3 linked regions of the Arabidopsis thaliana genome follow. The protein of the gene in region 3 interacts with the protein of the main gene of each other region in a pairwise test. Each region holds a gene or a part of one and is shown on either strand. Other genes may lie near its edges.

Region 1 (3,753 bases), about 13 Mb from region 3:
ATGACTATTCCATCCACACTAGACAACACCATTTCTCCCCCAGGTACACATTCTCCCCCTTTTGCTTGTTTAGGATTTGAACTCTGAATGTGATTTTGTATGTAGGGAAGCATGTAATCAACTTGTTCATCCAGTACACTCCTTACAAGCCCTCAGATGGAAGCTGGGAAGATCCTACTTACCGAGTTAGTTTGTTATACACGCTTGGCTAAACATTCCTTTACACTACAAGACATGCCAAACCCATCTGGATTTGCTTTTGCTTGTGTAAAAATCAGGAAGCCTTTGCACAAAGGTGTTTCAAACTGATTGATGAATATGCACCCGGGTTTAGCTCATCCATCATTAGCTACGACATGTTGACTCCTCCGGACCTGGAACGGGAAATTGGTCTAACAGGTATATAAAGTGAAGTACTTGGAGAAAGATCCCAAGTACATGCGACATGGCCAAACCATATTGACATGACTGCCCATTTGTATTCTGCAGGCGGAAACATCTTTCACGGTGCCATGGGATTAGACTCTCTCTTCCTGATGCGCCCTGTGAAAGGATGGTACGTGACTCCGAAGTACTCAAAACAGTCTTTACGATTTATGATTATGAAATTCAAAACTTTGTTGGACTGTGTGAAACAGGTCAAATTACAGAAGCCCTTTGAAAGGTCTCTACTTGTGTGGCAGCGGAGCTCATCCTGGAGGCGGAGTTATGGGTGCACCTGGAAGAAACGCTGCACATGTTGTTCTTCAAGACTTGAAAAGAATCTAGCGAGTATAATCTCAGACTGTGCAATGTTAACTCTCATGTGTAAGTTGTTTGTTACTGCTCTGAAAACCTCTGTCGTAGGGAGAGGCTTACAGACATGGACAATAGTTGATATCAACGAATAATAAGCCTCCACGTGTAGCTTAACCTAAATATCACTAATTCAACAAATATGGAAAGTGCCCTAAACAACAGAAGAGCCATTGTTTATTTGTCTTTGTCTTTGTCTTTGCGAAAAGAAGTAAATATCCTCATCAATGGCGGATTCACGAGATGATCTAGCTGAATCGCTACAAAATCTATTCACGAGTGTTTCATCTATGGTCAAATCCGAGCTCCAGGTGAAAATCAATCCGAAATTTTACAGATTTATTTGTTTCCACAGATCTGAAATTGAATTGGATAAAAATAGGGAACGAACAACCATCTAGATCTATTGGAGAAGATGAACCTGAGAGTTGCGTCAGAGTACGATGATATGGGTGACGTGGCAGCTGGGCTCAGAGTTTTCGCAGAACAGATGAAATCAAAAAGTGGTGGCTTGGATGAATTTGTAGGACAAATGGATGCTATCGAGAAACAAGTGTCGGAGTTTGAAGCTGTGATCTCTGTTCTAGATCGATATGTCTCTGTCCTAGAATCTAAAATCCGAGCTGAGTATCGTCATCCTCATCATCAGCGTCGCTCTAATGATTCTGTTGTTACAGACTGATGCATTGTAGCAATAATTAATTTTTATCATTACTGAGATTGTTGGAATCGAGATCTGGAATGCTATTTTGGTTTTAGTTGATATTGAAGCTAGATACGAATACGACGAATGATTTTGTCTACATTCGGTTTAAGTTTAACCAAAACTGAAATTTGCATAAATCAATCTGGAACCAAACCAAACGAAAAGCACCTAAGTTTTTTTTTTACCGCTACTCCATATATAACCATTTACCGTACTTACTAATGCATTGGTTAAGTGTTTTGTTAAACATATTAAAACCTCCTAAGCAAACAAAACCAAACCGAATTAATTTCAGTTTGAATGTAATAGCGATGGTTTTATAAAACCAAAACTTGGAACAAACTGAACTGCTCATCTTTAGTAGTAAGTAACGAATTTTCATAATCACAAATTGTGATGTATAATCATGTTATCCGTTTCAATATCAAGAAATTTAACTAGCATAGTTGGAGAGTGTTGTTAATTTTGATTAGTAGTGGACAATCCGGTTTAAGGTTTGGTTCCGGTTCGATTTTACGGTTTATATATTACTTGTTTTCTCTGTGTTTTTCTTTTGTCTAAAAACACTCTAAAGAACTTAAAGATATTCGTCTGATTGTTCTCTCTCAAATTGGCTCATCCTCTCCATTCAATTCATCCCAAGTACCAAAGCAAGCTACTTCGATCTTCCTCTTACTACTCTCGTTTCTAATTGTAAGTCTATATCAATTCCTTTTCCAAAGTTTGTGTAGATCTCAAAGTAGTAGATCGGAAGAGATCGATAAAACCAGATCGATTAATCATAGTTGCTCCCACTCTCGACTACTTAAGAGATAATCATAAAGTCTTAACCTTTAGGAATCGAAATTTATTGTGATGCTTAGATAGCGAAACCCAGTTATAGAATCATTGAATCAATTAGAAACCCCTAATTTTCCTGTGGAAATTTGCTTAAAATCAATACTTTTTTGGGTTTGTAATCTATACACTTACTCTATGATGTCCAAGTTCTTCCTTTTTTGTTACTGTAATGTAAAATCCAATACAAAGATTTGAAATTTATGTTGTTTCAGATTGTTGTTATCTTAAATGGGTTCATCTGAGAAGAGATCAAAGGATATCATGAGTGACATACCAACTTTCAGTGCAGAGAATTTGCAGAACAATTTGAAAGTCATTCAAAACAGGTCTGATTCAATACAATTCTCTCTCTTTCGTTTTCTTAAAAAGATGATGGTTCTCGGGTTTTTTGACTTGTTATCCCTCATTTTGTTCGTGTTTGCAGCCGGACGTTTCTGTCTATCATAGCTGGTGTCTTAGCAGGAATAATTGGATTCAATGGCTTGATTGGTTTTGTATTTTACTTTGTGGTGATGTTGATCACATCTGTTGGGCTCATGGCTAAGGCAGGATTCTCAGCTGACTTGTACTTTGATTCGTGGAATCGGGTTCTTTTTGACGGTTTTCTTGGTGGCCTTATGGTATATCTTCATTTCCTTTTCTTATTACATTGTTTGTTGCTTCAAGATACATGTTGTTGATCCAACCTGTTAATCTCATACTAATCGCGGTGTTGTTTTCTTTTTCGCAGTCGTTTGTGCTGTTCTGGACGTATCCTTAAACTCAATTTGGTGGTCATACTCATTTTATGATAATGTGCAAAACTAAATCAAAGGTTGATTAGCTTTATGGAAAAACATCTATGGTATGGTGTAGGTAAAAATGATTAGCTTCTTAAGAACCTGTGATTAACATAGAAATGGCCTTTTTGTTTACTTCGTGTAGAATCAAGTATATGCGCAACTCGAAAACAGCTCTCTCTATTCTCTGTTTGTCTCAGTAGGTTTCCTTAACAATGGAGTAGATTTGCGTATGACTTGGTGCACATATTCTGAGGGAACTTCTGCTCCAGATGAGGATGGTGAAACGGCACACAAGATTGAGTTCGGGTTTTGCAGCCTCTTCATCTAAACTGAATTAGATTGACAATGTTTCTCTTGTTCCCTTTTTGAACAACAGTTTATGAGTTCGTATTACCTTTTTTTGTTATTTGAGATCACATCAAACTGTGAAAACCTTTAGATTGAAAAGTTTCAAGTATTTACACTTTCTTCCAATTTCATGTGTTCACATTGTTGTTTTCTTTTTTTTTTACATTCTTGCATGTAAAATATATTCGAATATGCTTAAGATTTCAATAGAGAACATTAGAACACTCTCTGTCAAGTTTGAACTTAGCCGTCTATGTGTATTGTATAGTTCTTTTGTTGCTT
Region 2 (3,753 bases), on a different chromosome or scaffold from region 3:
TGCTCCCATTATGTTCAACGTCCCTTTGTGTTGAGTCGAGTTGAACACAAGTGTGTACGCGAACCATGCATTGTAGTCATTCTTCATGTCGTAGAAATAGAACCCTTGAGCTCTTGCCACAGGTTCGGACTGAAAGTTTTTGTCTATGGTCATAGGATCGTCGAAGATAACGAGTTTCCCGAATTTGAAATTCCCGAGGCCCGGTGGGTTGGTAACTGCTGCAGAAGTCGCGTTTTGCACGTCGTCGACACCGAACATTATGTCGTGGTAGTAGAGGACAAAGTTTTTGCACGGTTTTGGTTGCGATTTGGATGGTTTTCTAGCTGATATGACGGTTTTTGTTAGAACAAGGAAAACGAATAAGAAGAGAAACGATTTCATTTGGCCTACCATATTGAAAATATGTGTGTTTTAAATGAAAATGTGAGAGTGGATAATGAGAGAGTGAGATTGACAAAGAAGGAGTGATGGGTTTATATACAACTTGGGTTACTAGTCCGTGTTAATATTAAGTATAAACAAAGTGGACTAGCTCACTTCTTCTCTCTTGTTTCTTGTTTATATATTTATTTATATTAGGTTGGTGATAAGTTTTGTTGATGTGTATAAAGTGAGATCATTTACCATGAATATCTGAAAGTTTTCCATGTAGGCGGCTCAATCACCTTTCAAAACTTTCCACAAAATGTTATAGTAGTGGAGAAATCGTTAAAAATAACACGAATGAAGTACTAAAACAAATTAGTATATATAATACATATTTGATTTAAGACTACATAAGCTTAAAGCTTGTACATACCTTAAGCTGGAGTTGCACGAATTCATCAATAATATCTAAAACAGCACAAATTCAAAAGCAGAAGAGATATTAAATCGGTTAAATATGCAATTCATGGCTTTAAATCATATATATTGAATCAATGAATAATCTACTTGTTCGTCTAAATTTAGGACATTAATAATATATATATGTATAGTCTTTCAGAACTACTAATATATGTAATTTGGCCTTTTAATGATGGGTTGGTGGAGCACTAATAATAAAAACTAAAGAGCATGAGGAGTTTTTCCAATAACTTATAATTTTACATGAATTTATGTCAAACTGCCACTGACCATTAGCATGATGCTAAAAAGTATCGTTATAGATTTTATTTTATTTTATTATATATAAATCATATCATTTTTTTCTATAACTAAAAGTAGAGTCATCTATTTTATTGGTAAAAGTCACGTTGAAAATTTTAATTTTAGTTTGTTAAGTACCCTATGGCTAATATAATTTGCATACCAAACATGTTTTTTTCTTAATGATAATCTAGTCCATTTGTAAAAGTAACCGTTTTATCATCAATTTTTTTTTAATTAAGCTAAGCTTTCGCCGACTTAATAGAACATTGGCATTCGGCAGCCAATAAAGCAAATCAAGTTGCAGAATTTCAAATGTGACATAACTATTCACATTTTAAAAAATAATATCGTGAAACAAAAGAAAAGCAGAACAATAGTAAACAAAAAGACAAATTGTTGAATGTTGACAAACTGTGAAGATGATAACAAACGAAGGAAAAGAAAAATACTAAAATAGTTTGTCCTAAAAAGCCTTATCTGCGAAGGCATTTTAACGAAAACGGGCCTATTGTTGGCCCAATATGATATATAGGCTCGAAACTCGTCACGTGTATTCAACAGTTGCTTGAGTTTTTCCCACACGTGCGCTGTTACTACGTGGACGCGCGCGAATAACTCTAGTTTTGTGGATTTTTTTCACTATCTTCTCAGAACAACACAGAGCCAAAGGTTTTTTGCTCGCAGTAAAGAAGAATCACACTGTGAAGAAGAAGAAGAAGCGAAATACAAAATCCTCAGGAAAGAAATGCTAAGTTTGAATCTCTCGGAGTCGCTTCGCATTCCATTCCAGAACCCTAGGCCTCCCAAATCCGATTTTTCTTCTACTTCTTCTTCTCCTTCCTCATCGTCGAGGAGATGCGTCTCCGCTTATCCAATTCCGATCGGGTTTTCGGTTCGTAATCAATACTTTTCTAGGTAAATTTGATAATTGATTGTTCATCGGCTTTTGAATTTGCTATGCGAATGGAATGTAGCCATGTAGGAGTTTACGTCTTTTCACAATTCTGTGCAGATGTTTGACTCAATTGCGTCGAAATGAATCTCAGCAGCTAGGTTTTCGATGCTTCCAACGAAACGATGCGGCTTGTTACCTCGAGGTGATTCTGATTTTTGTTACCTTCCACCAATCTTCTTTTGGTAGATTTTTGAATTTTTTTAGATGAGATTCTGTTAAGGCCTAGAGGAGATTTCTGAATTGCTTGTTCTGTGTGGATTTACCTAAAATGGTAATGTAGGTTTATTATAATGATGATTGATTTTAAGGTTGAACAATAGTGGAGAGAATGTGTTTAAATGCATAAGCTGAATAAGTTGTTGTGTTTGCTTTGTTCAGAAAGCTGAGTCTGAAGAGCATGATAGAAATCTTGATGTTCTGGTTGAGTCATCGATAGCTCACTCAAGAAGAGAGATTCAGAGAGTTCTTATGTTCTTGGCGGTATCAGGTTCGGTTGCATTACTAGGCACTGATCCAGCTTTTGCAGCTTCGTCAATTCCCAATGTGACACAGTCACTTGTCACTTCTTTTGGAGACCTTGGAGATATTAGCTCAGGTTTTGCTTCGGTTAGAGAATCTTCCTTTTGCACAGAACCGGGAACTATCTCTTCTTCAATTCCAGTACTCTTAAATTTTATTTTTTGCTCTGTCTATGTCTGTGTAGGCTTTCTTGCTTATCTTTTTCTCTGAACTTGGAGACAAGACTTTCTTCATTGCGGTATGATCTTGAGATGTTAATCTACGCTTTAGAAACTCTCTTTGTCATCAATGATTCTGTTGATTGTGATAAGTTTTCATGTTTGTTGGTTAGGCCCTTTTAGCAGCAAGGAACTCTGCTGCTACCGTATTCGTGGGGACTTTTGGCGCTCTAGGGTATGCTTTCTTTCTCAAACAGAGGCGTTATTATGGTCCGTGAATCTTGTCTGAAACCAAATGTTACTTTGAAATCTGTAGAGCAACGTTATAAAACTTGGTAATTTTGCAGGATAATGACGATAATATCTGTAGTGCTTGGACGCACTTTCCACTATGTCGATGAAGTTCTTCCATTCAGGTTTGAGTATTCTGGCAAAAATTATTAAGCAGGTTTAAGTTCCATGATGATGCTGAACGTCAATGCTTGAGAACACAGGTTTGGTGGAACCGATTTGCCTATAGATGATATTGCAGCAGTTTGTCTTCTGGTAAATCTCTTTATTCACCTTTCTTAGCAGAGTCGTACTAACCACGGGTGCTTGGTTTGGACCTTTCTTATGTCTAGCAAGTATATCTTCCTAAGTATATGATGTCTACCAAGTGAAACCAAATGTAGCTGTAACCCTTTTGTTATGAGTTTTGTTTTGGTTTTGGTTCAGTTTTCGATTCGAAGGGTCTTAAAATTGTCATGAAGTTTATAAGTTTCAGGCTCTATTGGGTTTGGATTTTTATGTAGAAAAAGTTACTGGTCTAACAATGAAGATGTTGATTGGTTTTCAAGCCTGGTTTATGGTTCATTTTGGGTTGGATCATATTGTACAGAGCATAGTCTTAACCATGAAACAGTATTAACCACTTTTGTTACATTTAGGTGTACTTCGGTGTTTCAACGTTATTAGATGCTGTTTCAGACGAGGGTAAAGCTGACGAAG
Region 3 (3,753 bases):
TCTTATTCTAGATAAAACAACATTGCTATCAGAGCCACTACACCTATAATAACATCCCATCGTGCCTTGTTCACTGATTTGATCGAGTATAAACCCACGAAGCAGCTCGACAATGATTCCGTGGCGTCTTTTCCTTTCTTCTTCTGTGATGGTCTTTCCTCTAACAGTGATGACATTTGTTTGTCTATCATGTTTGGTAAAGGAAGTACCCTTATCTCCATTGATGCTGATTCTAGTGTTGGCACTTCGTTTGGTGTGTTCCCTGTCATCACCGCTTCATCGAGATTGATGATTTCGTCTCTTAGGATATCCGCAAAGAAATCCTCGTCATTATCCACCTAAACCACACACACATAACATTCATTAAGAAGAACGACAACAATCAAGAACCATCATACAACAATTAGAAGCCAGGTGACAAAACCTGTAGATTTTCTGATGACTCTGCCATCTCAGCGAGTAGTTTCTCCCCTGATTCACCTGCTAGGTAAAAATCAACCAAGTTGTCCCAATCAGACGGGCTCCCTGAACTCGTAGCGCCATTTTGGACTTTCGCATGCTTCTCGGCTGATGAATTTGGCTTTGGTGCCTTCTGACTTGTACCACTATTGTATTCTTTGTTCCTCCTAACCCGGCAAACAACCATAGCATCATCCTAGAATTTACATAAACATAATCAATCAACTCAAGCCAAAGACAAAACTCCTAAAATTTTACTGTATTCCTCTTAGAGACTCAAAAAGTAGCCAAAGTCACCACCTCTTATGTAATGGTTAACAATTAATCTATAAGAAAAAACAAACTCTCGAGAACAGTTTTACCAGAGATACTCCTTTCACGCAGTACTCGTGCATAATCCAGTCAGTTCTTTCGCCTTTTGGTGCACGACCAATATGGAAAACAAGCGTCCTCTTTGTTCCAATGACCTCAGAACCAGACTTCACATCACGCTCTTTCCCAGTTGCTTTCCAGTATCCCATCTTCGTTGCTCTCCTGTTCTGTGAACCATGTGGATACTTTTTCCCACGCGCACAGAAGAAGAACCACTCGCTATCAGATTTCACAATCGACTTATCTGCAAAGAACAAACACACAAAAAAAATTGTCAATTCCAATCCAAGAGCCAAAAAATAGAAACTTTATATCTTAGGCACCCAAAATAGAGATCTCTCCTGAAGCCTGAAGAACAACAAAATCAAATTCCAAGTAGAAGAAAGACACAAAAGAATCAATTGGTTCGAATTCGAAGACAAACCGGGTAAATCCCAAGGCTCGAAATTGTAAATCTCAAGGTCCGGTATAACCTCAACGGACCTCTCCAAGCCATCCATCTTCCGCTTCAGGTAATACGAAATCAACTCCACATCCGTCGGCGAGAATTTAAACCCAGGAAACACCGTCGACGCTTCCATCGACGCCGCCGTATCCTTAGAAACTCCAACCGCCTTCGTGTCCATGAAGGCTCGCGCGTATACAACAGTCGCCACAAAAAGAGCGCGTAAGAAATCGGCCACCGCCCAAAGAGTAAAATCCGGGAATTTTCGATAACCTGAAGGATTTTTCTTCTCAGTGTGGTCTCTTCTCACTTGCTCAGGGAGCTTTTGAATTGTTATTGGAACACTTCACAGGTGCACACATATGGGTTTTTGCATACGTGTTGCCAAGGCATTGCTTAATCTACGTGTGCATGCCACGTCACTAAACCTAGTTATATTATAGGTTTTATTTCATTTAGACCCTTAATGTTTTTACGTACTCCCAATTTACGACTTATTGTTTAGTGTTTTCAGATAAAGTCCCAATATATATCCGAAATCTTACTATCGATCAATCGCTCACAATTATATATCCCAAAATATCTTGTTCAGGATCTCGTAATCAACAAGCGTTACCTCAAAGTTTTTGTTGATTTGAAGCTTAAGGGTTAACCACTTATCATTACAAGAAAACTTATCCTTCTTGATGGATTTCAACTGCTCCACAAGACTTTCCATATAGTTAAGTTTAATCAAAAACTCATGTTCAAAAAAGCTAAACAAGAAAGGTGAATTTTCGCAAATCTCCCTCCGTAAAACCTCGTACGTCTTCGAAATAGTATTAGTAGTAAAATCTGTGGACTATGTTTCTGTGTCAAGGTACGACAGGGAAAACGAAATGTATGAGTGAACTTTATTGTTGTTTCCATGATGAAATGGGGTTACAAATTACGATCAAATTATACTCAAATCATTATTTGTAAAAAAACTAAAGTGATATTAACGTGGTTAACTCTGTTCTGTTAATTTTTTTGGTGATGTGAATCCAAAAATTACTTTGAAAGTTTCTCGTACAATTAAAAGTTTAAAGTTGATGATGAACGGAAACTATAAACAATCATAACAAGAAATTCTCCAAATTATTTCAGCAACAAATTTATATTTTGTCAAGATCAACAATGATCGATAACGATAATATGATTTAAGAGTTTTTTCATACCAAAACTCTTTAGAATTAAAAATCCTCCTTTCATAGGCCTTTGAACTAAAAAATAGAACTCTTCAACAATATTTTAGTCAAAAGCTAATGATACGTGAAAGAGTTCGATACCTTTTATAACACCATCCAAGGATATAGATCAAGTCTAAAACTAAGAAAAGAGATAAACATCTAATCTTCTAATCCTCATACCTTCGAAAAGTAAACAATAATTAATATTGAATGCTAACAAGTAACAACCAAAATATATAAACAAACGCTTTGTTTGGTTTTTAAGGTTGGTTTGTTATCGAGGGGGTATTTTATCTTTTGAATTTTGTAAAAAATCTATAAATATAGGTGATGATTTTAGAAAAAAATGAGGATTTTTTTACACATTTTGGCATTTCCCCCTACAGTTAAAAAGAGAGTAAAAATCAAAATATATATCATGTGTTGTACAAGTAAACACCTACCAACCAAGCCCATCAAGAAGATACTACTACTAGAATCACTCATTTCCTCTATATATCTTATTGGTGACAAACTGACCAGTCACCAATAAATGTCTCTAGTCACGGCGGCTCCTCCGGTCAACATCGATCAAATCTTTCCCGTGGTTGACGTATACACTTGCGATTCTTCCTCCATCGTACAATATGCATGCATATAAATACCAATATAGGTGATGGTTATTGTAAATGTTTTTAGAGAAAATGAGGATTTTTTAAACCCATTTTTCCCTTCACTAAAAAAGAATCGACACACAAAAAGAGAGAGTTTATAAAATACACGATAATATCAAAGTTAAACACACACCAACCAAGTAAACAAGATACAACACAATTGGAATCTTTCTTCTTTGACAAAAAAAAAAGGAATCTCTCTCTTTCTCTGATTCTCTCATGTCCATGCAACAAGAAACGTCTCACATGACGGCGGCTCCACAGACCAACGGCCATCAAATCTTCCCTGAGATTGACATGTCCGCCGGCGATTCCTCCTCCATCGTACGAGCTACAGTCGTCCAAGCCTCTACAGTCTTCTACGATACTCCCGCCACGCTAGGTTCGTTCCTGTTTTCTCGATTTTTGATTCACTATGGTTGGTGAGATCGCTTTCGATGCCTTATCCACGAAATTTTGTCAGATAAGGCAGAGAGACTGCTTTCTGAGGCAGCGGAGAATGGATCTCAGCTAGTGGTGTTCCCGGAGGCTTTCATCGGTGGATATCCACGTGGCTCTACCTTTGAATTGGCTATTGGTTCTCGTACCGCTAAAGGACGAGATGACTTTCGCA

The links.
Region 1: the proteins of NAC089 (region 3) and AT5G49540 interact in a two-hybrid assay, tested with the Arabidopsis thaliana proteins (one large-scale study listed by BioGRID).
Region 2: the proteins of NAC089 (region 3) and AT1G64150 interact in a two-hybrid assay, tested with the Arabidopsis thaliana proteins (one large-scale study listed by BioGRID).

What each region holds. Positions count from the first base shown.
Region 1 is NC_003076.8:20,104,426-20,108,178, reverse strand, and holds AT5G49540 (Rab5-interacting family protein), read left to right. Parts: upstream 1-1,900; 5' UTR 1,901-2,194; intron 2,195-2,553; 5' UTR 2,554-2,569; coding exon 2,570-2,667; intron 2,668-2,765; coding exon 2,766-2,961; intron 2,962-3,071; coding exon 3,072-3,091; coding exon of another isoform or gene 3,092-3,101; exon of another isoform or gene 3,102-3,344; coding exon 3,345-3,375; 3' UTR 3,376-3,698; downstream 3,699-3,753. Other genes in the region: AT5G49555 (FAD/NAD(P)-binding oxidoreductase family protein), read left to right, coding at 1-43, 106-185, 279-399, 490-556, 639-768; BLOS2 (biogenesis of lysosome organelles complex 1 subunit-like protein), read left to right, coding at 1,023-1,106, 1,178-1,477.
Region 2 is NC_003070.9:23,810,703-23,814,455, reverse strand, and holds the start of AT1G64150 (Uncharacterized protein family (UPF0016)), read left to right. Parts: upstream 1-1,730; 5' UTR 1,731-1,876; coding exon 1,877-2,046; intron 2,047-2,143; coding exon 2,144-2,228; intron 2,229-2,464; coding exon 2,465-2,692; intron 2,693-2,789; coding exon 2,790-2,843; intron 2,844-2,936; coding exon 2,937-2,998; intron 2,999-3,110; coding exon 3,111-3,179; intron 3,180-3,257; coding exon 3,258-3,309; intron 3,310-3,692; coding exon 3,693-3,753. Other genes in the region: DIR5 (Disease resistance-responsive (dirigent-like protein) family protein), read right to left, coding at 1-393. UniProt on the Arabidopsis thaliana protein: Mn(2+)/H(+) exchanger, which transport Mn(2+)from the chloroplast stroma into the acidic thylakoid lumen. Might be a chloroplast-localized Ca(2+)/H(+) antiporter. Regulates Ca(2+), Mn(2+) and pH homeostasis. Required for chloroplast development.
Region 3 is NC_003076.8:7,376,042-7,379,794, forward strand, and holds the start of NAC089 (NAC domain containing protein 89), read right to left. Parts: upstream 1,736-3,753; 5' UTR 1,458-1,735; coding exon 1,256-1,457; exon of another isoform or gene 1,076-1,255; coding exon 822-1,075; intron 656-821; coding exon 425-655; intron 339-424; coding exon 3-338; 3' UTR 1-2. Other genes in the region: NIT4 (nitrilase 4), read left to right, coding at 3,360-3,522, 3,604-3,753. UniProt on the Arabidopsis thaliana protein: Transcription factor involved in plant cell division.